Medicago truncatula: one gene and its partners. The protein of the gene in region 2 interacts with the protein of the main gene of each other region in a pairwise test. Links are inferred from orthologs where the notes say so. Each region holds a gene or a part of one and is shown on either strand. Other genes may lie near its edges.

Region 1 (7,643 bases), on a different chromosome or scaffold from region 2:
GTCCTCTTGAGATTGGTTTTCACATTCAATAAAATCAATCCCTTGAATGATTTTTGTCTATATTTGTCAAGTATATTTCGGTTACAAGAATATTCCCATTGTTTTGAAAAATTCAAGCAAGCATAATAATTTGTTATTATTAGGAGTAGCATGTAAATCTATTTAATATTCTTAACGTAGTACGTAAAAATATTATATTCACTAAAATTTCTTTCAAAAAATGTTACTGCATTTACCATGAATAGGAGACACGGTCCATAATTTAGTTAGGTCGACGTATATTTTGACAGGGAGTTAGAATTTGTCTATATAGTTGACAATATTATTGTTATGTAGTAGTAGCTGGCAGGGCCAAGATTTTGGTTTGCAAAGTATAATCATTTCATGTCAGCAAATATGTCTTGGAATGGTTACTCTCTCTCTTCTTCTCTCTCTCTGCATGCATTGCAATATTGCATAATATCTCTTTCCATATACGGCCAGGGAGGGTCACCCCCACCACCCTCCAACAAACAAGAATCAATATTTGAGATCATAGTTTTCTTCTTAATTGCGTGTGAGTTGGAGTGACACTATTTGCATCTTGTTGGTTGGACATGATATATTGGCAGAGCTTGAATTTCACTCTATAGTTAATAGTACATTTTTGTTATAATATATACCCTTTTCCCATATGCATGTCAAATGTCAACATCCTACAAACATCGACTGTGGTATCACTCATTATGATATTTTGAGCATGAAAAAGGACGTCCGAAAATAATAATGGTCATTTTGAAAATGATCGATGTTATAGTTCCACATGTGATTTTGTTAAGAAAATGGGGAGAGTCTTTTTTTTTTTTAGAGAAGAAAATGGGGAGAGTCTGGAACCAAAAGAATAGTTCCTTATGTGGAAGAACTTGAGCTAATTAAAGTATCACATTAAATATTTTCATGTAATCGATGTCGGACTTTTAACATTAAGAGTCGGTGTTTATGATGGCTTTCCGTCAACCGACATTGATTGGATGATAACTCTTTTATTTATGGAGACTTCACATAGATATCAATATTTGGTTGAACACTTTAATCAAAGTTTAGATGTTGCTCTGTCATTGGTATACCTCAATGAAATCATCAATTGTTATGACCTTATCTAGGTGTGCGAGGAGAACACAAACCAAAAAGCGAACATTAAACAAAAGAGTCGCATGACTTAAATATCACATCGAACATTTTTATGTACTAGATGTGAGATTTCTAATAATTTCGGAGATGATTTTTCTCAACGTTTTTGCAGTGTTCTTTTTACCCCTCCATGAACTAATTCTCTTTGATGAATGTTGCATAAAATGATAGAAATGACAATTTTTTCCTCATGTTCTATATATTGTAGATAATTTTATTAAATGGGAGCTTGTCTCTAAGTCGTAATTTGTTTTGATGTGACGGTCTAACCCCTTCTTCTGTAGTCTTAATCCTCGTTGATCTATATAAAATATTTTACTCATTCCGTTTCATTTTTAAGTGCCATATTTGAAAGAAAATTGTGTTTGTGTTGTTGCTTTGTCATTGGTCTACCTCTCAATGAAATCAATTGTTATGACCTAGGCGTGCGAGGAGAACACAAACCAAAAATCGAACATTAAATGAAAGAGTCACATGACTTAAATATCACATCGAACATTTATATGTACTAGATGTGAGATTTCTAATAACTTTAAGTTGATTTTTCTCAACTTTTTGCACTGTTTTTTTTTTACCTCTCCATGAACTAATTCTCTTTGATGAATTCTGCATAAAATGATAGAAATGACAATTTTTTCCTCATGTTCCATGTTGTAGATAATTTTATTAAGGGAAATGTTAACGAGTATCCCCTTACACTCTTTAAGCACCTTTAAATGGAAAGTTTTTAATGAAAAGTTGTGTATTGAATGCATTGGAAATTGTAATAGTTGACTTTTTAAAAGAATTATTGTTAAATTTGGGATGCTTAAAGAGTGTCTCGGGGGCACTCGTTAACAAGACCCTTTTATTAAATGTGAGCTTGTCTCTAACTCATAATTTGTTTTGATATGACGGTCTAACCCCTTCTTCTACTCTTAATCCTCGTTGATCTATATAAAATATTTTACTCATTCCGATTCTTTTTTTAGTGCCATATTTGAAAGAAAATTTTGTTTGTGTTGTTGCTCTTTCATTGGTCTACCTCTCAATGAAGTCATCGATTGTTATGACCTAGGCGTGCGAGGAGAACACAAACCAAAAATCGAACATTAAATCAAAGAGTCGCATGACTTAAATATCACATCGAACACTTTTATATACTAGATGTGAGATTTCTAATAACTTAAGAGTTGATTTTTCTCAACTTTTTGCACTGTTTTTTTACCCCTCCATGAACTAATTCTCTTTGATCAATGTTGCATAAAATAATAGATATGACATTTTTTTCTCATGTTCCATATTGTAGATAATTTTAGGCTAAATTGCATTTTTGATCCCTTAATTATTTTGCTAGTATCGCTTTGACCCCTTAATTAAAATTTGATTTATTTTGGTATCTTAACTTTCTATCGTTACAAATTTTGGTCATTTACGTTAGTTTTAATTCAAAAACGTTAGGGTCATCTTCTTCTCCTCTTCTTCATCTTCATATCATCTCCATCAACCTTTCAACAACAAAAATCCAAGAAAAATTACATAAGAAAACCTAACGTTTTTGAATTAAAACTAACATAAAGGATCAAAATGTGTAACGATAGAAAATTAAGATACCAAAATACATCAAATTTTAATTAAGGGACCAAAGCGATACTAGCAAAATAGTTATGGGACCAAAAATTCAATTTAGCCATAATTTTATTAATTGCGACCTTATCTCTAAGTCATAATTTGTTTTGATGTGACGGTCTAACCCCTTCTTCTAGTCTTAATCCTCGTTGATCTATATAAAATATTTTACTCCTTTCGTTTCTTTTTTAAGTGTCATATTTGAAAGAAAATTTTGTTTTTTTTTAACTGTCATTTTTAAAGTTCAATACAATATTAATAATTAACTTATCAATAATACCCTTACTATTTTTCTTAAACTTGGTATCTGATTCAAGGATTGATTGATCTGAAGAGTTCAAACTGATCGCCACTTGTTAGGGAAATACCCTTACAATTTATTACAAAGAGAAAATTAGATGGAATAAAATATAAATGATTAATGATAATATAGGTAAAATATAAATGATAATATCAAAATTAACCATACTTATTAAATATCTTTGGTACGTGTAAAAAATTACAAAATCACACTTAAAAGATAAGAGTGAATGGATGGAGTTCTAATTAGTAATTATTTTTCTTGGAGGAAAAAGATAATCACGGGGATAACCATTTTTTTTTTATAGACAACATACCAAAAAAAAGGAAGACATAGCAATTTTTTTTTATTTTGACAAAACATACCAAATTTTCTTTTATCATTGTTTAATTTCGGAATTCATGGGATGTCGAAAATCAAACCATTTCAATAGAAAACCGCAATAAAAAAAAGTGCAAAACTTCTGTTTAGTTTAGTGGTATTTAGGTCAATTTTTCATTCAACAATGCGATTCAGTTCAGTTTACGATTTTTATACTGCAACCTGAATTAAGTCAAACTACATGTTCACTTAACTTAGAGTATTAAATTAGTAACTCAACCCAAACACCCTTCACTTAAATATATCTAGTCTTGAATAATTAATGTATCTAGTCTTTGTTATGGACATGATACATTAATTATTCAATGTATCTGAAAAATTAAATTTTGTTTATAATAGCAACCGGAGGGAGTATACAATGCAATGACCTGTGTTAGTACCTTTATCAATTAGGATACTTGGAATCACATAAAAGAATATTCATTTTCTTTATAAATAACTAGCGAAAAGACGGACATTCAATGTATCTGTCTTTCCGCTCTTTTTATTGCGATAACGTTTCAAAATTATAAACAGTGTTTTTTTTTATGAAATTTTGATTTTGATTAAAACTAAAAATATAGATGTTTGTTGCTTTCAAGTTATAACAAACCAAATTAACCATGATTATCTATTTTTATGACACCAACAATATAACAAAAAAAAAAATCCAAATTCTTTTTTTAATGACATCAACAACAATCTTTATTATAGAAAATATTGTTTTAAAGTATAATTGGTATAATGAAAAAAGTAAGTATAAATATACTCATTTAGTTTGTTACACTTTTTAGATGATAAAGGAAGAAGAAAAAACAGACATATAAATATTCATATCGTAATTCTTTTCTTTTAGGAATTTAAGGAAAAAATACAAAGTCAATTTTCTGGTACCGAAATAATAGGGTTATTTTTAAGTTAGTTAAGCTAATTTTTCTTTTTAAACTTAAAGTGAAATTGATATCAAGTTGCTTGATTTCAATAGCAAGGATAATGAGCTACTTCTAAGGACGTATTTAAGGAGACTAAAAAGAATTTGGAATTAAAAGTAAAGAAATGAAAGTGTGGAAGTTGTTACGGTAACAGAAGATGTTTGGTCTGTTTTGCCCCTGTCCCCTTAAAATGAATATAATATTAGTATTATGATGAAAAAGGTAAAATTATTTTATGAGTATGTATATTATACACACTCCAAAGCACACTTTTTGTTGCTTTGTGCTTAATGGAATGGAAGGCCCTTGAGTAGAATAGACTTCACTCTCTCTCTTCTGCTCTTTAGGTTTCACTCTTCTTCACTCTGCCAATTCTTCAAACAACAAGGAATAATCTCTCTCTCTCTCTTCTTCTTCTTCTTCTTCATTCTCTCTTCTGCCTTCTACACCAACCTTCCATTTTCACAGGTATGTTACTTCTATGCTTCATTTTTTATTTTATTTTATTCTTATTTTTTTTTTCGACAATAATTGTTCTTGTGTTGTTGTTTTTAGCTATTTTGCTTTCGGGTTTGTTTATGTTTGTGTCTTTTATGTTATTGTTTCTTAGTTTTTTCATTCACATTCCTTAGCAAAAGTTTTGTTTTTTTTTGTTTTTCTTTTTATTTGAAGGAAATAATTTGGAAAAAAGGTGGGTGTGGATCTATTTTTATAAATTTACTTTTTTTCCTCTTGCAAGTTGATTTTTTGTTTAATTTATTGCTTAATATGGGGCTATTAAATTTTACTTAGATTATGTTGGGGTTTCCTTATTGCAAAATAAAAATCCCAAATTTTTCATGGTATTTTCATTTTTTCACATTTTACTTTTTTTATTTTTTGGTACAACGCATTTTTTCATGTTAATTACGATTTTAAAAAATGAAGGGTATTTTCCATTTCTAAGCGTTCGAATATTATTTCATGAGCTTTATTATAATATTTTTGTTGAAAAAAGACTTATTTATATATTTTGATCAGTGTGAAAGTTAGGGGGTAAAAATGTTATTTTGATCCGTGTGAGAGGGTGAGAAGAACTAATCTTGGAGATAAAATCATTCATAGATGATAAATGATAGGTTCCTATAAAAACCAAACTTGACCATTAATTAATAAATCAAAAATGTCTGCTCTCACTTCTAAAGTTATTAGTTAGATGAAAAACCAATGGAGCACTGATGCACACCGGACACTAACACGTCGACACTGATAGTAATTTGAAAAAATGATACGATTGAATGTAATTACATGTCCGACAGGGACATTGACGCCTTCGATCAAAAGTGTCGATGCTACAGAGGTTGATACATACATAATAATATATACTATATCCAAAAGCAGAGATTTAAAACGTGGTTGTCTTTGCAATCCTTGATATTGTGGAAAATCACGGCTAAATGCGGCTGATGTAGCATCAATCGCAGTTGCACAGATATTAAATATCTTGATGTCACAGCCGAGATTGTAATTGCAACCCTTTTTCTAAACATTGTCTAAGAGTGTTCACATGCAATTGGATGCCCTCTTATTAATCTTGATTTAGTCTTTGCACTATGAAGAATTGGGTCAAACACCGGACACAACACTAACACTAACATGCGACATCATTTTACTAATTTGACAAAATGGAATAACTGAAGGTAACGAGGTGTGTCGTTGTCAGACGCCAAAAACACTTTTAATTTGAAGTGTTAGTGCTACATAGTCTGTGCTAGCCTACTTTTATTATTTCATTCATAGTTAGATGAAATGGTTACCATGTTCGTCCTATATGAAGTGTAAAAATTCGGTCTGTTTAATCTTTCTGCCAATGTATTGCGTGAATTGTGCTTTTATAACTTTCTTTTATGACAGTTTGCATATTTGGAATCTGATGTCTCCGCCACTGCTGCTTCCTGAAGAGGAAGGGCAGAGCAACCCCTCAACGGTAGCATCTGCATCTCCACAATCCTTGGACCGTTTTTCTCAAACTGCAGCTGGGTTGAAGGAACGCAATTACCTCGGATTGTCTGATTGCTCATCGGTTGACAGTTCTACTGTCCCAAGCTTGTCTGATGAGAAAAAAGAGAACCTAAATTTGAAAGCGACGGAGTTAAGGCTCGGACTTCCTGGATCTCAGTCGCCTGAAAGGGATCTTGATCTTTTTCCGTTGAACTCAACAAAACTTGACGAGAAACCACTTTTCCCTTTGCTTCCCACTAAAGATGGAATCTGCTCGTTGTCCCAAAAGACCGTTGTTTCAGGCAACAAAAGAGGTTTCGCCGACACACTGGAAGTGTTTCCTGAGGTGAAAAATTAAACTTTTTCCTTTTACTAGAGTTAATATATTTTTGGTGTGTTGCAAATGATTTTAGTGTCTGGGATGTTAACCTAGATGGGATTGTTGAAACTATAGGGATGCTTTTGCACATCAATTTTGAATAACAAAAGGTCAAATGGATGTTCATACTGCTTTTGAGTCTGATTCTTAACAATATGTGATGCAGGCAAAATATACTGCTAATACTCGCGTAAACATACTGCTTTCGCCGAGACCTTCTGGAGCTCAGCCTACTACAATTAAAGAAATGCCAAAGAAGGTGGTACAAGAGAGCCCTTGTACAGCGAATGGAACTGGAGCTCCCATCAGTGGCAGTGCACCGGCTGCTAAGTAAGTAGAACATGCTACATCAAGGATCCACTATTTTCTGGACAATCTAGTTGGACAAATATATTAAGAATAAACCTTCAGTTTATTCCTTTAAGTATCATTCTCTCTTCTACTTAGTCTGTAAAATATATAGAAATAATCGGTAATTCTTGCTATTATATATTGACAAGAGCTACTAGGGATTAAAGAGACGAATTTCATATAGTTTAGGGACTAACTTGACAGATGTCAGATGGTTTAAGGACTATTTATTATTTTGATTTAGTTTAGGGACTAAATAGAAGAGAGTGATTCTTCAATGACTAAAGCAATGGTTTACTCAATACCTTAGAAGGGATTTTTTGATGTCTTTGTAATAATGCTAATTACTTTCTATGTACGACAGAGCACAAGTTGTTGGTTGGCCTCCTATTAGATCATTTAGGAAAAACTCACTGGCCACCACTTCAAAGAACAATGACGAAGTGGATGGAAAGCCTGGTGCAGCTGCACTATTTGTGAAGGTTAGCATGGATGGCGCTCCTTATCTTAGGAAGGTAGATCTAAGAAACTATACAACATACCAGGAACTGTCGTCTGACCT
Region 2 (7,108 bases):
TAACTATACTTTTACTATAATGACCTTATTCATTTAACATTTATTTCATATATTTCTCTCTCCACAATAAATAACTAAGAACAATATTGATAAAACAACATCTAATGTTGCATTGAACTTTGAAAGTGACAGTTAAATAGGAACAAAAATTTTCTCCAAAAGTGACACTTAAAAAGGAATGAAGGGAATATTTTTTGTATCTCCGAATTGCATACTCTATTTATTTTGCCAAATGGATAGGATCTTACCATGAAAGTTGGGTTTAGAGTTTAGTCCAAAACATACTTAAAATGCAGTTTTTGTCCTGATTTTAATTTCTTGATTTGTAAATATAAAAAAATCGGGTGGCATTTCACATGGGAAAGGCCAATCCTTTCCTACCATGGGAAAGTTGGATTCAATGATTGGATCAAGTGAAGAACATATTCTTATCATGCTCTTTCAACATTAGATTTTTCTTCACACTATATACCAACAATTTTAAAAATTAATTTCCAAAAATTAAAAAAATCGAAAAAAATTCAGATATTTTTTTTTAAATTCTGTAATTTATTTATTGAATGTTAGAAAAAAATTTGAAAAATTGAAAATTTATTTATTTATTTTTCAATAAAAATAAAATTCTGGAAACTAAGATAAGTTTTTATTTTAGTAATAAAATGAGATATTCTGAAAAATAAAATAAAAATCCTTTTTTTTTTTTAAATTAAAGTTTTTTATTTTTATAATTAAATAAAATTCTGGAAAATAGTTTTTTTATTTTCAAAAAATATTATCTAATTTTTTGTTTTTATACTAAAAAAAAGTTTTATTTTGGAAAAAAACTTTTTAGAATGTTAGGAAAAAAAAATCTGATCCTTTTTTAATTCGGAATGGTAGTAAAAGTGTGTGCAAAAATCTAGTGTGAAGAGAGTATGATAAAATTGTTTTATTTATTTCATCTAATAGTTAAATACCAACTTTTCCATTTGTGAAATTGTCTTCGTCTCTGCCTCTAAGATCATCTCCAATTAGGATGTATGGATGTTTAAGTTGATAAATCTGCACTTTAATTTTTCAACCATCATGCTGCAAAATCGATAACATATAAATCGTTGAAGTATTTATATAAAATACGATATTATAAAATAACATTGAATATAGTAAAACTACCTGGTTTAGTTTGGATTTTAGAATGTGTTTCTTGTAAAGTCTTGTTTTGATTCTTCTTGTTCTTAGTTTTGGTGGATCGGTTTAGCTTTTTATTATTATTTTTTTTTTAAATAAAACATTGAATATAACTTAAAAAAAAATACTTCATCTGGTCTCGAATATAAGAAAACATTCATTTTTTAAGTTCATTAGATAAAAGATATATGTGATTTATATTATAGTTCAAATATATTATTTATTGAATGAACTTTAGAAAGAATTTTTTCATGTATTTGAGATCAGAGGGAGTATAAAACATGAGTTAATTAAGAGTTGTGTAATTTTTCTTTTTGTATTGGAGCAAAATAAGCATGATCCCATAAGTAAGATGTGCATTGAAGATCCAATTTTTTTAACGATAAAAATTATTTTGACAAATCGCACAATTAAAGATTATTTTAGAAATTCGACAATTTGAATGATTACTCGTTATCATTCAAGAACAAAAATGACAATTGTCTTAAATAAATAAATAGATGAGGTGTTCTTTGGTATCGATGTGATTTTAATAAAATCACAATAAAAGTTACTTCAATCAAATGCGTTATTAAAATTTGAACAATGATATTTGTGCATCATTACTTTCCATAAATCATTAAACACCTTAGGGTCTGTTTGGTAAAGCCATCAAACGAGCTTATAGCTTATAGCTTATAAGCTCGTTTGATAAAAAAAGCTCTGTTTGGTACTGTCTTTTCACCACGAGCTTATAGCTTATTTCACGAGCTTATAAGCTATTTTTCAGAAGCTATTCCAAGTAGCGTTTGAGCTTATAGCTTATAGCTTATCATCTTTTCTTTCATTTTTACCCTTATCATTTTAATTAAAACCCACTTTTACCCTTTATATATTAAAACACATTTATTACGTTTTCTATGTTTTTTTGTTCCTACGTTTCCAGTTTCTATATACTTCCAATTTAATTAGTACAACTCAACTACTCGAGTACTCTTCAAATAAAAAAAAACTACTGGAGCATATTTTTTGAGCATATTTTTCATATATTCATCTACTCGAACTTACTACTTTTAAGCATAGTTCATCATGTATGACGTTGAGATGTATGTTTTCAATGCTTTGTTACGATTTTTTTTTCTCTTGTAACAATTTTTGTTTTAAAATAAAATTATTTTTGAAAGAAATTTTTAAACTTGAATTTTTTTTGAAGTATAAAAATGGAAATGGAGTAAATTTAAAATAAAACTATAACAAAAAATTAATATTTTTTTGAAAGAGAAAAAATAATAATTTAATAATATATAAAATATATATTAAGAACATAATTTAATAATTTTATTAGAAATAAAAATGTCCTTTTATGTCATTTTACATTTATCAGCTAGTTTTACCAAACACTTTAATCAGCTTATCAGCTATCAGCCATCAGCTATAAGCTATCAGCTAGCTTATAAACTATCCGTTATTTTTACCAAACAGAGCCTTATTGTTTGTCTATCTTTCCTTTTCTATCTCGTTAACAATATATCATATCTATCACATCACTTCTTTTTATCTTTTTCACAAGATGTCAAATGGTTTTGGATGTACACCAATATTTTTCCTTCAAATTTTGTGTGATACACCATTATACCAAGTACTCACTCTGGTCACTATTATAAGCAAAACTCAACTTTCTAGATTCATTCAATAAAGGGTTAATATGCCTTTACCCCTGTAATATAGATCACTTTTGGTTTTGCCCCCTGTAAAATTTTCTTTTTGGAAAACCCCATAGGCTAGCTGACTCTGTATTTTCGTAGATGTGGCATGTTGCATCACTTTTTTTGGATGACGTGGCGCGCTGACTGTATAATTTTTTTTATGGGGTACACGTGGCATTTATGATTTTAAAAAAATTCTTAATTTTTTTTTTAAAAATGAAATAAATTCTGGAAAAATTAAAAAAATCTAGAAAATTTAATTTAAAAAATATGGAAAAATTAATATAAAACAAAATTTTCAAAAAAATTATAAAATAAAATCGAAAATATATTATTATAAAATTCTAGAAATTAATTCTGAAAATCAAAATAATTATATAATAATATAATTTCGATTTTTTTATAATTTTAATTTAATTCAGATTTTTTTATAATTTTTTTGAAAATTTCGGTATATATTAATTTTTTCATTTCATATTCTCAAAGGAGTAAAAATATTAATTAATGTATCTTTCTATGACATTTCATATTTTTATGTTACTTCAATTGCAAATTTAATCAGCTAACGTGTTTGTTATATGGTATATATGGTATGATGAAGTACGGACACTGACACGAACATCAGACACGACACGAACACTGACACATTAACACAAATAATAATTTTAAAAATGACATAATTTAGTATAATTATAGACATCATATCTGTGTCAAATATCGACACGTATCCGACATGAGGAGTTAGGACACACCTAATTCAAGAATGTCCCTACCTCATAGGTTATATGTTATAAAATCACCACCAAACCAACCAAAATAAGTTTAATACTTTTATAAGATCATCCATTATAAACTAATTTATAATCTATTCACAATTTTTACTAAATAGAGGTTATACATATACTAACTAGGGGTCCCAATGGTATATTAATTACCCTTGCTATTATATTTTTGTTCAGAAAAATAAATGTACTTGTGTTTATTCAGAGAATAATAAAATAATAATGTTTGTTGCAGTTGCAAGTACTTGATAGCGTGTAAGTATTGTACTGTTTCTGACTTCTTTATAGACACATTACATTACTTTTGCGTATATAGCTCTGCTTTCCCTATTTCAATTTATTAATAATATACTCTATTATTATTCTATACTATAGTACAGTACTATTCTACTAGTACCATTTTCTTTACCTCTTAATTATTTTTTTCATAAATATAAATACTATAATATAATAAAGCTGCAAGGGTTAGAAGTTGTTGTTGGAAGTAGCATGCACACTGCTTCTTGCTGTTTGAAGCAAAGAGAAAAAAGAGAGAGAATAGAAAAAAGTGCTTTGAGAATTGTAAAGAAAAAACAAAGAAAGAAGGCACTGTTTCAGAGTGTGATGTGATGAGTGGTTTCACTCAAAGGTTGGTTTCTTTTTTATATTTAAAGATAAATAAAAAACCACTCATTATGCTTTGATACGCGTGCTTTGATGCAAACTAATGAAAGTTTTTTATTTTTTCTACTTTTCTTTTTGTCAAAAGATTTGCACTTTGACCTTTTTTAGCAGTTTTTGTTCCTTAGTTCACTCTTTTTCACATTACTTGGATTGTTTTGTTTTTCTTAGACAAACAACAAAATGAGATTCTCATGTTAAGAATTTAAGAATATTAATGATGATGATCAAAATGGACCCTTGTTCTTGTTTTGTACTACCCTTTTGTTTCTTCTACTTTTCTCTCTCAAGTCAATACAAGTTTATTCCTCTTTATTGTGTTTGGTGGTGATGTTGCATGTTGTGAATTGAAGACTAAGATAGTGGTGAAAGTGGAACATGGCTTCCTTAGACGAAAAGGCTAAAAGTGTTGGAGGTGTTGTTGGTGGTCAAACTCTTGTTGCTGAAATGAAGTTGCTCAAAGAAATGCAAGAACATTGTGGTAAGTTCATGTTTCCTTCTCTTTTTCTTAATTTTTACAATGTTTATGTTATATGTTTTCTTAGTAGAAATTGAGATTTTGCTTTGATTGATATTTGGTTTTACTAATTTTTGTTTAGGGGTTAGAAAGACATTAAATTCAGAATTATGGCATGCTTGTGCTGGTCCTCTTGTGTCTTTGCCTCAAGTGGGGGGTCTTGTCTATTACTTCCCTCAAGGACATAGTGAACAGGTAACATTCAAACTCAAGAATCTCTTTTTTATGCTTTAACATTTGTAAGTGCTAGAATTAGCATGATTCTAGGTTTCTATTGAATGGTTGAAACATGTGTTGAACTTTTTTTTTTTTTTTTTTGTGTTTTGTCTTTTTAAGGTTGCAGCTTCTACTAGAAGAATAGCAACCTCACAGATTCCAAACTACCCTAGTCTTCCATCTCAGTTGTTGTGTCAAGTACAAAATGTCACACTACATGTAAGTAGTGTTCTCTCTTGATTTACCACTTTTTGCTTAACCACTCATTCAAACTTCAAATTATCATAACCCCTTTAAATTGTATGTTTTGATAACAGGCTGACAAGGAGACAGATGAAATCTATGCTCAAATGACTCTCCAACCACTGAATTCTGTAAGCTATATGAATTAGTTAGTTCTAGAATTATTGTTGTTGTTATTGTACATCTAAATGTTATTGGTTATGATTATTATTGATGTATTATTTTCCATTTTTTTAGGAAAAAGAAGTATTTCCAGTATCTGAGTTTGGACTAAGCAAAAGTAAACATCCAACTGAGTTTTTCTGCAAAACTTTGACTGCCAGTGATACTAGCACACATGGTGGCTTTTCGGTTCCACGCAGAGCTGCGGAAAAGCTATTTCCTCCATTGGTAAGGCTATATTGCACTAGGTGGTTGCAACCTTCTTTTATGGCTGTACAAGAACCCTCATTTGATTAGTGTGTTTTGGTTTTAGGATTACACAATTCAACCCCCAACTCAAGAACTTGTTGTTCGAGATTTGCATGATAATACATGGACATTTCGACATATTTACCGAGGTGAGGATGTTTTCTGCATCTATGTAGCACCTAGCATATACACTTTAGATTAATGGTGTGTCCGGTGTATGATATGTGTGTCAGAATCGGTCACCGACACATGTAGTTACATTCAATTTTTTTCACGTTTTCTAATTATTGTCAGTGTCGGTTTCATGTGTGGTGTTCATATCTGTGTTTCATAGTTCTACCATGTCTATTGGTTTGGTAAAATATATAGGAATAAATGTTTGTGGCCGTGGATTACATATTGTATTATTTTAACTGCAACTTTATACTTCCTCTTGGCTGATCTTAACCTTCAAAATATTTAGTCTTAAAAGAGCCTGATTGGGTTAGATCCTTACATTTCTTTCCTACATTTTTCATGTAGGTCAGCCGAAAAGACACCTTCTCACAACGGGTTGGAGTTTGTTTGTCGGCTCAAAAAGGCTTAGAGCAGGCGATTCTGTTCTTTTTATCAGGTAAAATTTGTTTGCTTCATTTTTGTCAAGTAGCTTCAACATGATACGAAACTCTGTTATTATCTGAATATAGGTAGAATAACTAGTGTGCAGAACAAAGTCTGCATAATCTTTCTAATTAGACTTGTTTTTTCTCCATGGTTACATTGCAATGTAATGGTTTTCAATATTGGGAAAATTGTGGAAGTCGGATTAGCAACTTATTATTTTAAATTCTGACCAATAATCATCTTCACATAATTTAATACTAAGTGTGATGTGTCATTGTTACAAGGGATGAGAAGTCGCAACTGCGAGTTGGTGTAAGGCGTGCTAATCGTCAACAGACAACACTGCCATCATCCGTACTTTCTGCTGATAGCATGCACATTGGTGTGCTTGCTGCTGCAGCTCATGCTGCTGCTAATCGAAGTCCGTTCACGATTTTCTACAATCCAAGGTATACCTAAATATGTTTATACCTCACCTGACATTAAATATTTTTAGATCTAATCTTGGTACTAATATTGTCTGGAGTGTACTATTTGCAGGGCATGCCCTTCAGATTTTGTTATTCCACTAGCCAAATACAGAAAATCTGTCTATGGGACTCAGCTGTCAGCTGGCATGAGATTTGGTATGATGTTTGAGACCGAGGAATCGGGTAAGCGCAGGTAATTTCCTGAATTCTTCTGAACTGTTTTCTGGGATATGTGCAAACTCCTGAACTAACAAGAATAGTTGATATATATATATTTCTTCTTATTCTGCAGATATATGGGTACAATTGTAGGTATCAGTGATGTCGATCCTTTAAGGTGGCCTGGTTCTAAGT
Region 3 (6,672 bases), on a different chromosome or scaffold from region 2:
TGTAATTTACTTAATTTACTAACGAATACCATTAAATATGTATTTGTATCCATTAAATAATGGATGGTTGAAATACCTGTTTATTTTATTATGTGACAGATTTTATTCACGGATATCCGCATGTGAGATTATTATGTCATCCCTACAAAAGGTCTAGACTCCCACAAATACGTAGCCAACTAAAGTTCAAATCTAACAATGAAATATACTCACATTTAGTGTTGGATAATGTCAAGATTTCTTCCGATGAAGGAAATCCATGAAAAATTAAAAGTTCGATTAAAAATCTTAAAAGCATATATGATAAAACACAAATAAATTAAAAAATGACAAATGCATTTTCACCAAGGATGAATTTGGTAAAACATAATTTATGTTTGAAATTTTTTTCTTCTAGTAAAAAGTGTGCTTAACACTCGAGCGTTGAGTTACGAGTAAAGAATAAAAAGTTGAGTCTTATATTCGAGGGTTTTGGGTTCAAGTTATGCCGTCTCTTTAAAGGAATTTAGATGCAGTTCTTTTTGTAAGCACTATTTGAGTTTTAAGATCTTTCTGCCTTGTACAACAACACAATCCCTTCACACTAAGTTATATTGGAGCAGGAAAGGTTTGTTGCCAAAGGTTAGACATCAACATTACTAGAAATAAGATTTTTGGCAAGACTTTTTCTCGGCGACAATAAACTTGTTGGCAAAAACATTCATATAGCAACAACTAATTAAAATTGTTGTATTAAGTTTTTTTTAACAATATTGTTATCGTTGGGAAAAATGGTTTGTCCCAACAATAACTATTGTTGTTGAAAATAATACAACTTTTTATATGCATATAACATCGACTAATCAAAGTTGTTGTAATAGGTTATTGTTATTTATAAACAATATCACTATCGTTGGAGAAAGTGACTTGTTCCAACAACAATTTTTGTCGCTGAAATGGTGATTGGTGCATATCCGGAGATTGTGAAGTGGTAGCTGAGCTTGGATCCACCGTGCTTAGCGAAGATTTTCAGGTCAAGTTATTCAGTTTGGGACTACATAGCTAGCTTGAGCTCGATTTAAGGATCCCTGATGCAGGAGAACAACAATGATCAGTACGTGTCATCAAAGCAAAGCAAAGCTTTCCCAAGGAACACAAACCATAATTAATGCTCTGTATGATGCATATTGCTTCTTTTGAAGTGGTTCAATTCATCCATCAAACTCAGGAACAAAACCTTGCCATGCTTTGCTTTGATTTCTCTAATTAGTAATTGAGATTCGAAAGTGACATCTTATCTATATGGGGTTTCATCTTGCCTGGCCAAACTTAGACACTTAACCAATTTAGTTGTAGGGGTGTGTGTGGGTGAAGTAATGGATGATAGGTAAATGGCCAACAATGAATTAGACCCATAATACTTTAGGGGTCCTACTAGTTGAGTTTGTACCCTTCACCGCATGGGAACTATATAGAACAACTGGATTCCAACTTTCAATCCTTTGTTCGTGCGGAGTTTAGTGAATAGCATAATTTGCCATGCACCATCACGTGGGTTTCACAAGTTTACGTACACTTTGTCAAGCACTATATTGTGCTCTATTGGTAACCCTACACTTGTATTTTGGACCACATACATACCTAATATAGTAATATACGATATATTGCAAAGTTGATGCTTTGTGTAGCGCATTTCACCTTTTCGGTTTTGCTTAACTCGAGTAAATAAGAATTCTCCTTAAATTATGATTGTCATTGCAGACAAATGATCATTAATGATCTTGAAGCAAATGTTTTATGTGCATAGTGCATAAGTAGATTAAACACGCAATTAGTTTGCGTGAGTTCTTTTTTTTTTTTTTGAAGGAATAATTTGCTTGAGTTCTAAAATCATGATATGTTTGACGGGCATTATAGTCGACATATTGGACATATTAACAAACAAGTATCAATATGTTCATGAGCTACTGATTCCTTTCATTTTTTTTTATATATCAAATATAAAAAAAAAAAAAATTGGAAGTTAGGTCTTTTTTTTTTTTTATTTCATTTTTTTTTATTATAGGTCTTTCATATTGGAAGTTAGGTCTTTCATAATAATAAAGAACAGAATGTTAGTGCTCCCGCAACACTCATGAATACTCGTACAATCGTAATGTCCATAGTAACTTCCTTGTTTTGAGAAGTTTTTTCCCCAAAAAATAAATTGAAACGAAATATTAAGGACTTCTTTGGCTTAAGAAAATTATTTATGTTCTTATTTTCTATTCTTTTGGTTGTAAAAATGTCTCTAATTTTTTTTTAATATTTTTTTTTGTTTTAAAATATCTGTATATAATGAAGTAAAAACAATTTCTTTTACTAATTCTTATACATTTCTTTAATTTGAAATAGAAACAAAGTGTAAATTTTACAATTTGAAGTAAAAATAGCACATGAAACTAAAACGTTTTTCTCAAACTAAACAGACTCTTGTCAATTTGTGTGGATTTTTTTTTTTTTTTTTTTTTGCATAGCTAAATAGGAGTTTGTTTTAATTTCTACAGGTTTATGGTCACCACAAGCAGAGTATTTATGATTTGCTGCTAAGAGTTTCTTATTATTTCTTCAGGATTGATCAGAATCACAAGTAACTGAGGGCAATAAACAATTTTGTCACTAATGTTTTGGTTGGAAAGGGGTAACATTATATTAAGAAAACATAATGTTCAATCATGTCCAGCACAAAATACACAAGCTGTTCATTTTATAATCAATACCATTAATATCTCTGCATCTGCTTATCTGTCTGTGTCTTGTTTTATCTTTTCATAAAAAAACATACTGTTTTAAGGCTTAATTGGACATTTGGTCCTCTAAATAATTATGCGTTTATATTTTGGTCCCATAAATTGTAAAACTCACATTTTAGTTCTCTTGGTTTTGCTCCGTCGAATCAAAAAGGTCCTAACTGTTAACTTTAACCCCCAAATGTCTATGGTGGACCGACTTTAAAAATGGTCCACCATAGATCCTATTAATTATTCTAATTTAAACTGTTTGATATTTTTTTAAAAGGAGGGTCATTGGATTACGCAGATGTATTTTATCTTACGGTGAGTCAACAACACTTAATTATTTCTCCCTTTCTTCATCTTCTTCCTCACTTTTCTTCATCATATTCATATCATTTTCACCAACATTCATGAACAAAAATCCAAAAGAAAAAAAAAACCATAATTTTTTCCTCTCTTTACAAAATCTACTCCACTCTTCTTTCATTTCCTTTTCTTTCTTCCTCTCTCTACAAAACAAAGCCATACTCTCCCTCTCCTCCTTTCCAACCGAATTTTCCGGCCACCCACCGTGGTGTTTCCGGCCATCTTTTGTCAAACAAAATACATAATCTACATACTCTCTTCTTTCTCTATCTCATTCTGAAATTTAATTTTGGATCGGAGACATATTTTAGTCTCCAAACCGTCACTTTCATTATTAGATCTAGACCACCACAAATTGTTTCATGACAAACCACTACCATAAACATACTCTCCTTCATATTCTCTACAAAACCCACAAAGAAAAACCACGAACCGGTGAATTTTCTCGGCGACCACCGCACCGGAAAACGACCCCACCACCGCGCCGGACAATGAACAATAACATATTTGGATTGGTTTTGTTTACCGCGCCGGACAACGACCCCACCACCGCGCTGCACCGGAATTTTCTTTATTGTGTTGTGTTTTGTTTTGCTGGATTGGTTTTGTGAAATAGATTTGGATTTGATTTGAAGAAAGCTCAGATTGATGGAGAAATGAGAACTGATTGTTGTTGTGGTTTATTTTCAGAATCTGAAAAAAAAAAAAAAGATTTGTGTGTTTCCAAATTTTTTATTAATTTTTTGGGTTTAAATTCTTCTTTTTTATGGGTTGTTGTGAATTGTGATGAATGTATGAATATTTGATGATGAACAAGAGTGAGGGAGAAGAAGAGAGAAGATGATAGTGCTGGAAAAATTAGGTGCCGATAGCTCACTATAGGTATAATGGACATGCAATCAAACGGCTAATATCATATCAAAAATTTTAAACATTAAAAAACTAACGGAGGGGATCAATTTGACTGACGGAGCAAAACCAAGGGTACCAAAATATGAGTTTTACAATTTATAGGACCAAAATGTAAACTCATAATTATTTAGGGGACCAAATATCCAATTAAGCCTTGTTTTAAATATTAGATTTTCCTTACAATTAATGAACCAAATCCCAAAAGTCTTTTCAGAGTAATGATCTTCACCAAATTTTGGTGAATATGAATATGACACTTCCTTATAGCATGAGACTACTACTAAATATGAATTTGGATTTGCAATTCGTGCAATCACATCGTCATAGACGTTGGTGATCATTGGATCAAAATCGAACGGTCGAGGTTTTAATGCATATTTAAATGTACTTTTTAAAACTGAAATTCCACTCTTGCAATCCAAACCGTCCGAATTGGATCAAGTGACCACCAACGTCCTGATTGTGTGAATGCGCGAATTGCTGACTATAGAAAATTGAAATTCGAATATGTATATGAGGGGACACATTGAGTGGACAATTGAGACCAACAAAAGAGAGTAAAGTGGTCATAGCACATTGGTGCTCTCATTTCTCAACATGCTTATAATGCTGCTACTCTTTTTGCCGACCCAACTTCCTTGTTGTCTGTAACAATCCTTGTTCCACAAGACAATAGTCCTTTTCATTCCCCTCCTTCACTCACACACAAACACACATATATACTCACAACCCCATAAGTCAAGTAATCTCAATTACTCTTAGAAAGCTAGCAAGTACCTATCTCTAACCTATTAGCCTAGCTTCTTATGCTTCATGGAACTTCAGTCAGGTCTGGCTCTACCCATTCATAGTTCCATTGAAGGATTCGATCCCTACAACTCTGATTTAAATAATCACATTCGCGGTTCAGAAAATATAAAGTATGTCAAAAACAAACGTAGCTTTGATGAGTCTTTTGGAGATTTTTCGAAACCTTTGCCTCTATTAGTATGGAGTGGACAACCAAATGAAGAAGATGGCCGCAGTGAAAAGAAGAACAGAAGCATTCACACATCAAACAAGTAAGTTCATGCATGGATCAACCATGAGTTTGACAAAGTTACAACGTGTCACCGTAATTTAGACAAAAGTTACACTTTCTAGCTTCAACAAAATCACAGTGCTACTTGACTTTGTAAAATTTATCGTGATTACAAATTAACATGCACTAAACTAGCTGCTAATATGATTAATTTTTTTTATTATAAATATCATGACACCTTTATTATAATTTTTTGATGTACATGTATAAATAGTGAAGGAGAAAACCATTTGGTTGGGTGGCCACCAATTAAATCATGGAGGAAGAAAGAATTTCATGATCAGCAGCTTCCTGAACATATAAGGAAAGCTAATGAAAATCAAAATAGAAGATCAAAACCTTTGTATGTTAAGGTTAACATGGAAGGGGTTGGCATGGGAAGACAAATCAATTTGAGGCTTTACAACTCTTATCAAACTCTCAAAGACTCGTTGATTAGCATGTTTGTTAAATGTTAGTGTCTAGCGATATATTCATACTTCATAGTGCCATTCCTTTTTAGCTTTTGGTATATTTAGTGGATTTGTTTTTTATTATTTTGAACAGGCCAAAATTTTGAGGAAACTGGAGCAAACTATACACTCACATTTCAGAATAAACAAGGGGAGTGGAAGCTTACAAGCCATATAACATGGCAGTATGTGTCTGTTTTATATAAATATTAATGTTACATACTTTCATGGACAAGTTTATATCACATGAACTCAACAGTTATTTGGATCAGGAGCGAGAATTTAGAAATTTGGAATACGAAATATCATCATTGTAGAAAGGTAAGGTGTCTAAAGATCAAATTTATAACTTTTTTTGCAGATCCTTTATTGGTACTGTGCGGCGTTTGGCTATATTGAGGAATGGAGAATGTGAAACTATCTGACGAAGACTATACTACATAGTTTGTACTTTAATGCTGTTGTACTTTGTTAGTAAAGAGTACTATCTCCTTCAATGTGTTACAGAGAGCATAAGCAAAATATGTGAAGTCAAATTAGTGAATTACAATTTACAAATAATTTGTAATAATTTTGATTTTTTTACTAATAATAATATTGTAATTGTTCAAGTGTGTGCAAATAATTTGTAACAATCTCATAAGTTGATAAAAATGTCAAAATTATTAGACCAGACGTCATGACCAGATTCAAACCCTGACACCTTCACTTATGTGTGTGTTTATGATGACTTTACCATTCCGTCTATCTAAAAAAAACTAAAATTTCAACATTTGCCAAATAGTCTTATCCTTTTATATAAAATGGCTTAATAACACAAAAGAATACTACATCCGTCCCTAATTATAGGGCCCTTTTGAAAAATAACGGGAATTAAGATAGTGAAGATTTGTACTACCTCCGTCCCTAATTATAAGACTCTTTTGAAAAAAAAATTGTCCCTTTTTATAAGACCCCTTTGTTATTTCCAACTACAATAATTATTTCTTTACATACATGCCCCTATTTATTATACATCTTTTTCTTCAATCAGCAATAAATAACATGTTGAAAACATAAATCAACTCTCTTTCTTAAAGGATAAAATTGTAAAAACAATAGTAATTAC
Region 4 (6,126 bases), on a different chromosome or scaffold from region 2:
ATGGAGGTTTCTACGTTCATATCATAAACATTGCAACGGCAGTTAATTACCGCTGATGCCAGCGGCAGTTAACTGCCGCCGGTTTCTCCAACGGTTGTTAACTACCGCTGGGGTAAAAACGTCATTTACTTGTGTTAATAGAAAGTATTTCTATCATAAAACTGGGTTGTCTGCTTTGCATTCTTAAAATCTGGTTTGACGAAAGTGCTGATAACAAAAGGGTGTTGATTTTTTTTTATTTTTTTTTTTATATAACCAACGTGTGTGCTTGGATTTTCGTTAATTATTTGAGAATTTTTTAAACTTATTCTTGGAGTTTTTAACCAAAGTGTGTGCTTTGGAGTTTTTTTATTTTATTTAACCGAAGGGTGTGCTTGGTGTGTTTTTTTTAACCAAAGTATAGTGGGAGGTAGTGAGGTGATTGCAGTGCAGCCATCATCTCATGACTTTGCTTGTTTGAAACTTATGTATCTGCATGCAAGTGCATATGCATGTTATATGCTAGTGTGCTTGCGTAGTTGCACATCTTTACGTTCCAAATTCTAAACTCTAATATATGAATTCGAACATGATTGATTATGTTACTTTTCATTTATCTTTACTTTTCATTTTAAAGAATGCTCTGGGACATCCGTTAACATTTATCGTCTATTAATTACCCTCAAACAGTAATAATCGAGCTATATATATTGGTCACATACTTTGCATTGAAAAACCAGGGGTACAAGAACAGGAACGGTGACTAAATTGGCCTTATCGTTGCAAGACACATTTTCTCCGGCAATTAAACAAAACAGAAACGTTAATTGGTTTACACATTGCTTAATATTCATGTACTTTGCTGGGGACCAAATGACAATTTGATGGCTAATTCAAGCAACCTTATGGTTGGTAATGGTATGGTGGGGAACATTTTCATTTTTTTTTGTCTTTTCTCCCGGTTGAATAGTATTTAGTAGTCTCATACCTCCTTCTTTAGGTAGCATGTCGTTTCTTTACATTCAAGCAAATTGTACCAAGTTTTGCTCTTTGATTTTGTTTTTTAAAGCTCTTGTTCCCTCTTCAACTTCTGAACCATAGGAAAAATAATAAAAATAAAAATTAAGACGTGCTCATGGAAATAAAATTGCTTAGTAAGCGTGAAATATTACACGTGGGAGCTATGTGTTGAATGGAGAAGAAACTTAGAATATGATGTGTTAACAAATTAAATTGAATTTATTTTGTGTCCCCAAGACAGGAGCTCGGCATCACACTACCATTAAAAAAGTGTCATTAGACATTGTTCGACAATTCTGATTATTATGTCTTTTTGTTGCTTAGTGCTCCCTCCCCTTCATATCAAATCTCTTTTTCTCCAATACTATCATTATGTCTTTTATTTTCTTAATCTCTAAACAAAAACTGCTAACCTAATTTAAGAATACTAATCTTTATTTTTTGGTTAGGAGTTAACCTATCTGCTTTATAATTCTCATTATATTCGGTGAATGATATTGATGAAGACTTTGACTAAGAAAATATATAAAAGGTTTCAATAATATTAAAAGAAATTATAGTGACGTTTACTTACTTCTGTGATATATTACACAAAACAGAAACGTTTACTTACTTCTCAATGTCTGAGTCTATCACCTAAAAGAACCATCAAGCAAAAAAAGGCCAAGCATGAGTTTTTCCTTTTTAGGGTTCTAGTATCTTTATCAGAAAAGGCCAAGTATATACATATATAATGCCCGTGCTTTATGTGGCACAATCCTTTTGTTAACAGACACTTATTTTAAACGCTCTCAAAAAAAGACACTTATTTAAAACAAAAGTCTCCTAAAAAAAACTTATGCATAAACAAAATATGTTAGTAATTTATAAGGAGTTTGTAGTAGTAGTAGTACTAATAATAATAATAATAATAATAATAATAATAATAATAATAGCCATTAATTGTACCCAACAAAAATTAAGCACAACATATATACACACTTTTTTTCCTCTAAAAAAAGCATACACATTTTTTATGAATATATAAGCACACAATGAAATGATATTCCGCCCATCTTAAATATAAATAAAAATGTCATATATTTGGTTCGAATTATTATATTTTACACAATTCATTCGAATTTTTCTTTTTGGTTCAAACAAGGATTTTTACATCAAAAAAATAAAACAAGGAATTTGCATAAAATTCATTACTTGTATCTAATGATTTGTCTCATAGGCGTTCAAACAAATTTGTGAGATATTATCATTTCACATCGAACCTATAAATACTTTTGAACGTACACTCATTTTACATCATTCAATACGTTAATTCTCAGTTTACAAAAATATGTAGTGCTATTAACCAGATTAACTTCTTCTTTCTATTAAACTCGCAAATTTGCCGTAAATAATTCTAACCCTAAAAATTACTACTATGTCATTCATTCACGTCAACGATGGTTAAAAAACAAGGAAAATGATGTCAAGCTTGGTAGTGTGTCTAGTTAAATTATTGAAAAGCAAAAGGGAGGACACTTGTCTTATAGTAGTAAATTAGGTTCAATGTGTAATTAATTGTAATAAGTAGTTAAGTACACCCTAACTAAGACACATGTTAAGATTTTTCCAAATAGAAAATACTCCGTATTTAGAAAAATAAATTTACACTATTTTTGATACACAATATTTTTTTTTGGTTTAATAGCCTAGTGGTCACACAATTAATTGTGGAAAAATGGGATGTCTGGGGTTCGAACCCAAACCCCTGCATAAATTATACAATGTTCTTACCAACTGAGCTAAGCTCACGGGAACTCGATACACAATTTCTATATTTCACATTCTTAACATATGTCTTAAGACATATGTTAACATGTGCGTCACAAGTAGATGTTCTAACAATTTGGTCTTAAGTTTTTGGTGTGCACATGGTAAAATATTTGTTTGAAGATTTAAATCCCTTAATTTAATGAATATCAATAATAGTTTTAATTTTTGTAGTTGTGCATGGAAGATACAATTCCTTTGTTAAAAGAGTTTCGTTAACAAGTATCTTAAGAGCAATGGTTAAAGAATTCATTTATAGAAATTATGTTTTAGAAATGCAAGTTTTTACTTTTATCTCAACAATAATTACATAACTTTTTGTTATAAAGTTACTTATTTTAGTACTTTAACCAACATCTCAAGAGCATTAGTTAGCATTCTTCTTGTTAAAAAAATGCTTGCAACTTATCTTCATATGTATACTCTCATGCTGTTGATAGTTTCTTTGCTATTCATGGAGCGTTTCAAGGAAGGAAGCATCACAAGTTTCAATACCTTATTTGTTTATAGAATTTGGTCTCAGCAATCAAGATCCCTCATGCGCTACACGATGATTATATCCAATATTGAACATTGATCCATTGGATATGACCTATGTTATGTCTATGTGTACAAGGTTTCAGTTATCAATGTTCTCTTGTCCACCTCAATATTGCCCATCAATTCTCTACACAGTCTAGGTTCATTCCCTTCAAACAAAAACCACCACACGCGTTGTCCATTACATGTCTCTATTGTAACTCCAACATCTCCTTCATATTTCCTCTAAATATATTAAAGTGTTCATATTATTTTACATGCATCATAAGCACTTACAATACACTGGTTCTCTCTCATGGACGTGCATAAAAAGACGTTTCAAATAATGAACAATTTTTAATGGAATAACACGCGTCAAAGTATATTGTTTTGTATACCAAAGAAGATTCACATTGCTTAATTGAAGTTAAGTTGGTAAAACAAGAGTAATTAATGATATTTATATGTCAATTTTTTTCTTTTTTTTGGCAATCTTCTATCAAAACAATGAAAAATAAAGATAAAGATAAAGAAGACTAATTATAATAGAGAGTTGTCCAAAAATTATCATAAAATAGTTGCACATATTAAATTTAGAAGTTTATTAAATACTCAATCTTTTCTACCTATCGAGGCTAACTAAGCTATTATCTCATATTATCAAAACTTTCGAACTGCAAGATGTACATATGTGCTTGAGCCCCTTGTGTGAACTAATTTTTAAGATTGAAATTTAAATTCACGATTTAACATCATATTAGAGTCGGATTAATGAAAATGTTGATTACATCAAAGAATACATTAATAAAATCATTATAGCTATCAAGAACAACTGACTATTGTAAGTAATTGGTTTAATTAACTTTATATTTGATAAAAACCGTCTATGTTTAGATAAGATCATAACGAATAATATTACTACGGTTTCAAATATATATATATATATATATATATATATATATATATATATTAAAACAAAATCAAGTATCTCATTAAAACTTTGAACAAAATATATCTATTACTTTGACTTTTCTTCCTTGTATTTGAAAATTGAAATAGGAGAAATTGCTACATCACACTTGAAAATATTTGTTGAAACATAAAAAGATGCTGAGTTGGATTCTTAAACTGACACGTGTAATTGTCGGCTACATTCACAACATTTGATGGTCCACCAAATTACATAGGAGAAACAAAAAGAAAAAGAAATGTTAAATTGGCACAACAGCTGAGGAAGTCTAATTGAGTTTTTTTTTCATAAGCATAGCATAGATCTCTCAATTAAATTTGTTTATATATAAGGCCTTAAGGTGGCGGCTTGTTATGTCATCTAGCTCACAATCACAATGGGAAAAACAAATAGTTCAAATTCTTCTTCATCTATTAGCAGTAACAGCAACCATAATCTTTATATTTCTACTGCATCCTCTCTTACACATCAACTTCCCACAGATCTTAGTCTTGGACTCACCATTTCTCCCACTCAACATTTTCATGTTGGCTCATCAATTTCAAGGTTAATTTCTATATATATATATATATTCACCATTCATATATCATTAATTATTTTATGTTGATTTCTTTTGTCATTCTTTTATATTAGGGGGCAATGGCAACAAAACTATGACTACAATAGCTTGTATGTGAAGGTGTACATGGAAGGAATTCCAATTGGTAGAAAACTGAATATACTTGCTCATCAAAGTTACCATGAGTTAGTTAAGACTCTTGAGCACATGTTTGACACTACCATTCTATGTAAGATCCTATTCTTATTAATGTCTTGTAAATTTTATGATGTTTTTGTTTACTTATTGAGTACTATTTGGAACAGGGGGGAATGAGATGGATGGAGTGCAACCAGAAAGATGTCATGTGTTAACTTATGAAGATGAAGAAGGGGATTTGGTCATGGTTGGAGATGTTCCTTGGGAGTAAGTTAGTTTTTGAAGAACACAACAAGACATTATGTATGTGTATTAATGTGTTTGTGTTTTTTTTTTTTTTTTTTTAATGTGTAGGATGTTTTTATCGACTGTTAAGAGATTGAAGATCACAAGGGTAGACACATTTGGGTGTTAAAAATGTATATGACAACAAATGTGCTTGATTTCAAATTTTGTTCTGTAGCTAGAGTGAGACTCAATAGAGTGTGATTGTTATGTGATCATGTAATGTAGAAAAATCTTACTCTAGTTAATTAGTGGAGTATGCGGAAAAACATAGATGTAAATGCATAGCTCTCACTTTGTTTTTTAATTTCTAAGAAGCAAATGGAAAAGAATAGTATTGTACATGCTCTATTCATCAAGCCCACCAGTGACTTCACTTTCGTTTGAATTACTGTGTTCTAAGATTAAGTTTATTTAAATATTTTCTCAAAAAATCATTTATGTAAAATATATTTTCAGACCAACTGATTCTTTGAAATTCCAATGTAACGAACAATCTATAAAATAAAAAATAAAAATTGTTATAAGTTCACCAGTAAACTACCAAAATAGTCCATTGACTTTGTGATGAGCTTTCAAAATTATGAGAATAATGGATATTTCAAATCGGCCATTAACATTGCAAGATGTCTCATATTTGAGTAAGAATCTTCTCTATTGTTTAAACAGAGATAAACACAAAATAAATAGTGGATCTTACAACTAAGTGAGTCCCAAATTATTAATTATTTTAAATTTTTTTTCTCTTCTAATTTTATCTATGTCTTTGTTTATCCAAATTGAAAAAATTGAGAGAATCATAAATGATGATGATTCTGACTCCTCATATTCATACTTCTATTATCTC

The links.
Region 1: the proteins of auxin response factor 5 (region 2) and auxin-responsive protein IAA9 interact in a two-hybrid assay, tested with the Arabidopsis thaliana proteins (2 studies listed by BioGRID, with this or other methods). The link is inferred for Medicago truncatula from reciprocal best matches to the Arabidopsis thaliana genes MP and IAA9.
Region 3: the proteins of auxin response factor 5 (region 2) and auxin-responsive protein IAA29 interact in a two-hybrid assay, tested with the Arabidopsis thaliana proteins (2 studies listed by BioGRID). The link is inferred for Medicago truncatula from reciprocal best matches to the Arabidopsis thaliana genes MP and IAA29.
Region 4: the proteins of auxin response factor 5 (region 2) and auxin-responsive protein IAA20 interact in a two-hybrid assay, tested with the Arabidopsis thaliana proteins (2 studies listed by BioGRID). The link is inferred for Medicago truncatula from reciprocal best matches to the Arabidopsis thaliana genes MP and IAA20.

What each region holds. Positions count from the first base shown.
Region 1 is NC_053049.1:30,676,935-30,684,577, reverse strand, and holds the start of auxin-responsive protein IAA9, read left to right. Parts: upstream 1-4,639; 5' UTR 4,640-4,839; intron 4,840-6,264; 5' UTR 6,265-6,283; coding exon 6,284-6,697; intron 6,698-6,896; coding exon 6,897-7,060; intron 7,061-7,445; coding exon 7,446-7,643. UniProt on the Arabidopsis thaliana protein: Aux/IAA proteins are short-lived transcriptional factors that function as repressors of early auxin response genes at low auxin concentrations.
Region 2 is NC_053042.1:7,849,161-7,856,268, reverse strand, and holds the start of auxin response factor 5, read left to right. Parts: upstream 1-4,104; 5' UTR 4,105-4,262; intron 4,263-4,402; exon of another isoform or gene 4,403-4,647; 5' UTR 4,648-4,672; coding exon 4,673-4,775; intron 4,776-4,893; coding exon 4,894-5,006; intron 5,007-5,147; coding exon 5,148-5,246; intron 5,247-5,344; coding exon 5,345-5,401; intron 5,402-5,507; coding exon 5,508-5,660; intron 5,661-5,745; coding exon 5,746-5,830; intron 5,831-6,203; coding exon 6,204-6,294; intron 6,295-6,568; coding exon 6,569-6,733; intron 6,734-6,824; coding exon 6,825-6,947; intron 6,948-7,046; coding exon 7,047-7,108. UniProt on the Arabidopsis thaliana protein: Auxin response factors (ARFs) are transcriptional factors that bind specifically to the DNA sequence 5'-TGTCTC-3' found in the auxin-responsive promoter elements (AuxREs). Seems to act as transcriptional activator.
Region 3 is NC_053044.1:52,829,921-52,836,592, forward strand, and holds auxin-responsive protein IAA29, read left to right. Parts: upstream 1-4,664; 5' UTR 4,665-4,844; coding exon 4,845-5,092; intron 5,093-5,326; coding exon 5,327-5,565; intron 5,566-5,658; coding exon 5,659-5,749; intron 5,750-5,925; coding exon 5,926-5,989; 3' UTR 5,990-6,149; downstream 6,150-6,672. UniProt on the Arabidopsis thaliana protein: Aux/IAA proteins are short-lived transcriptional factors that function as repressors of early auxin response genes at low auxin concentrations.
Region 4 is NC_053048.1:52,423,640-52,429,765, reverse strand, and holds auxin-responsive protein IAA20, read left to right. Parts: upstream 1-4,592; 5' UTR 4,593-4,673; coding exon 4,674-4,843; intron 4,844-4,930; coding exon 4,931-5,085; intron 5,086-5,161; coding exon 5,162-5,261; intron 5,262-5,348; coding exon 5,349-5,409; 3' UTR 5,410-5,623; downstream 5,624-6,126.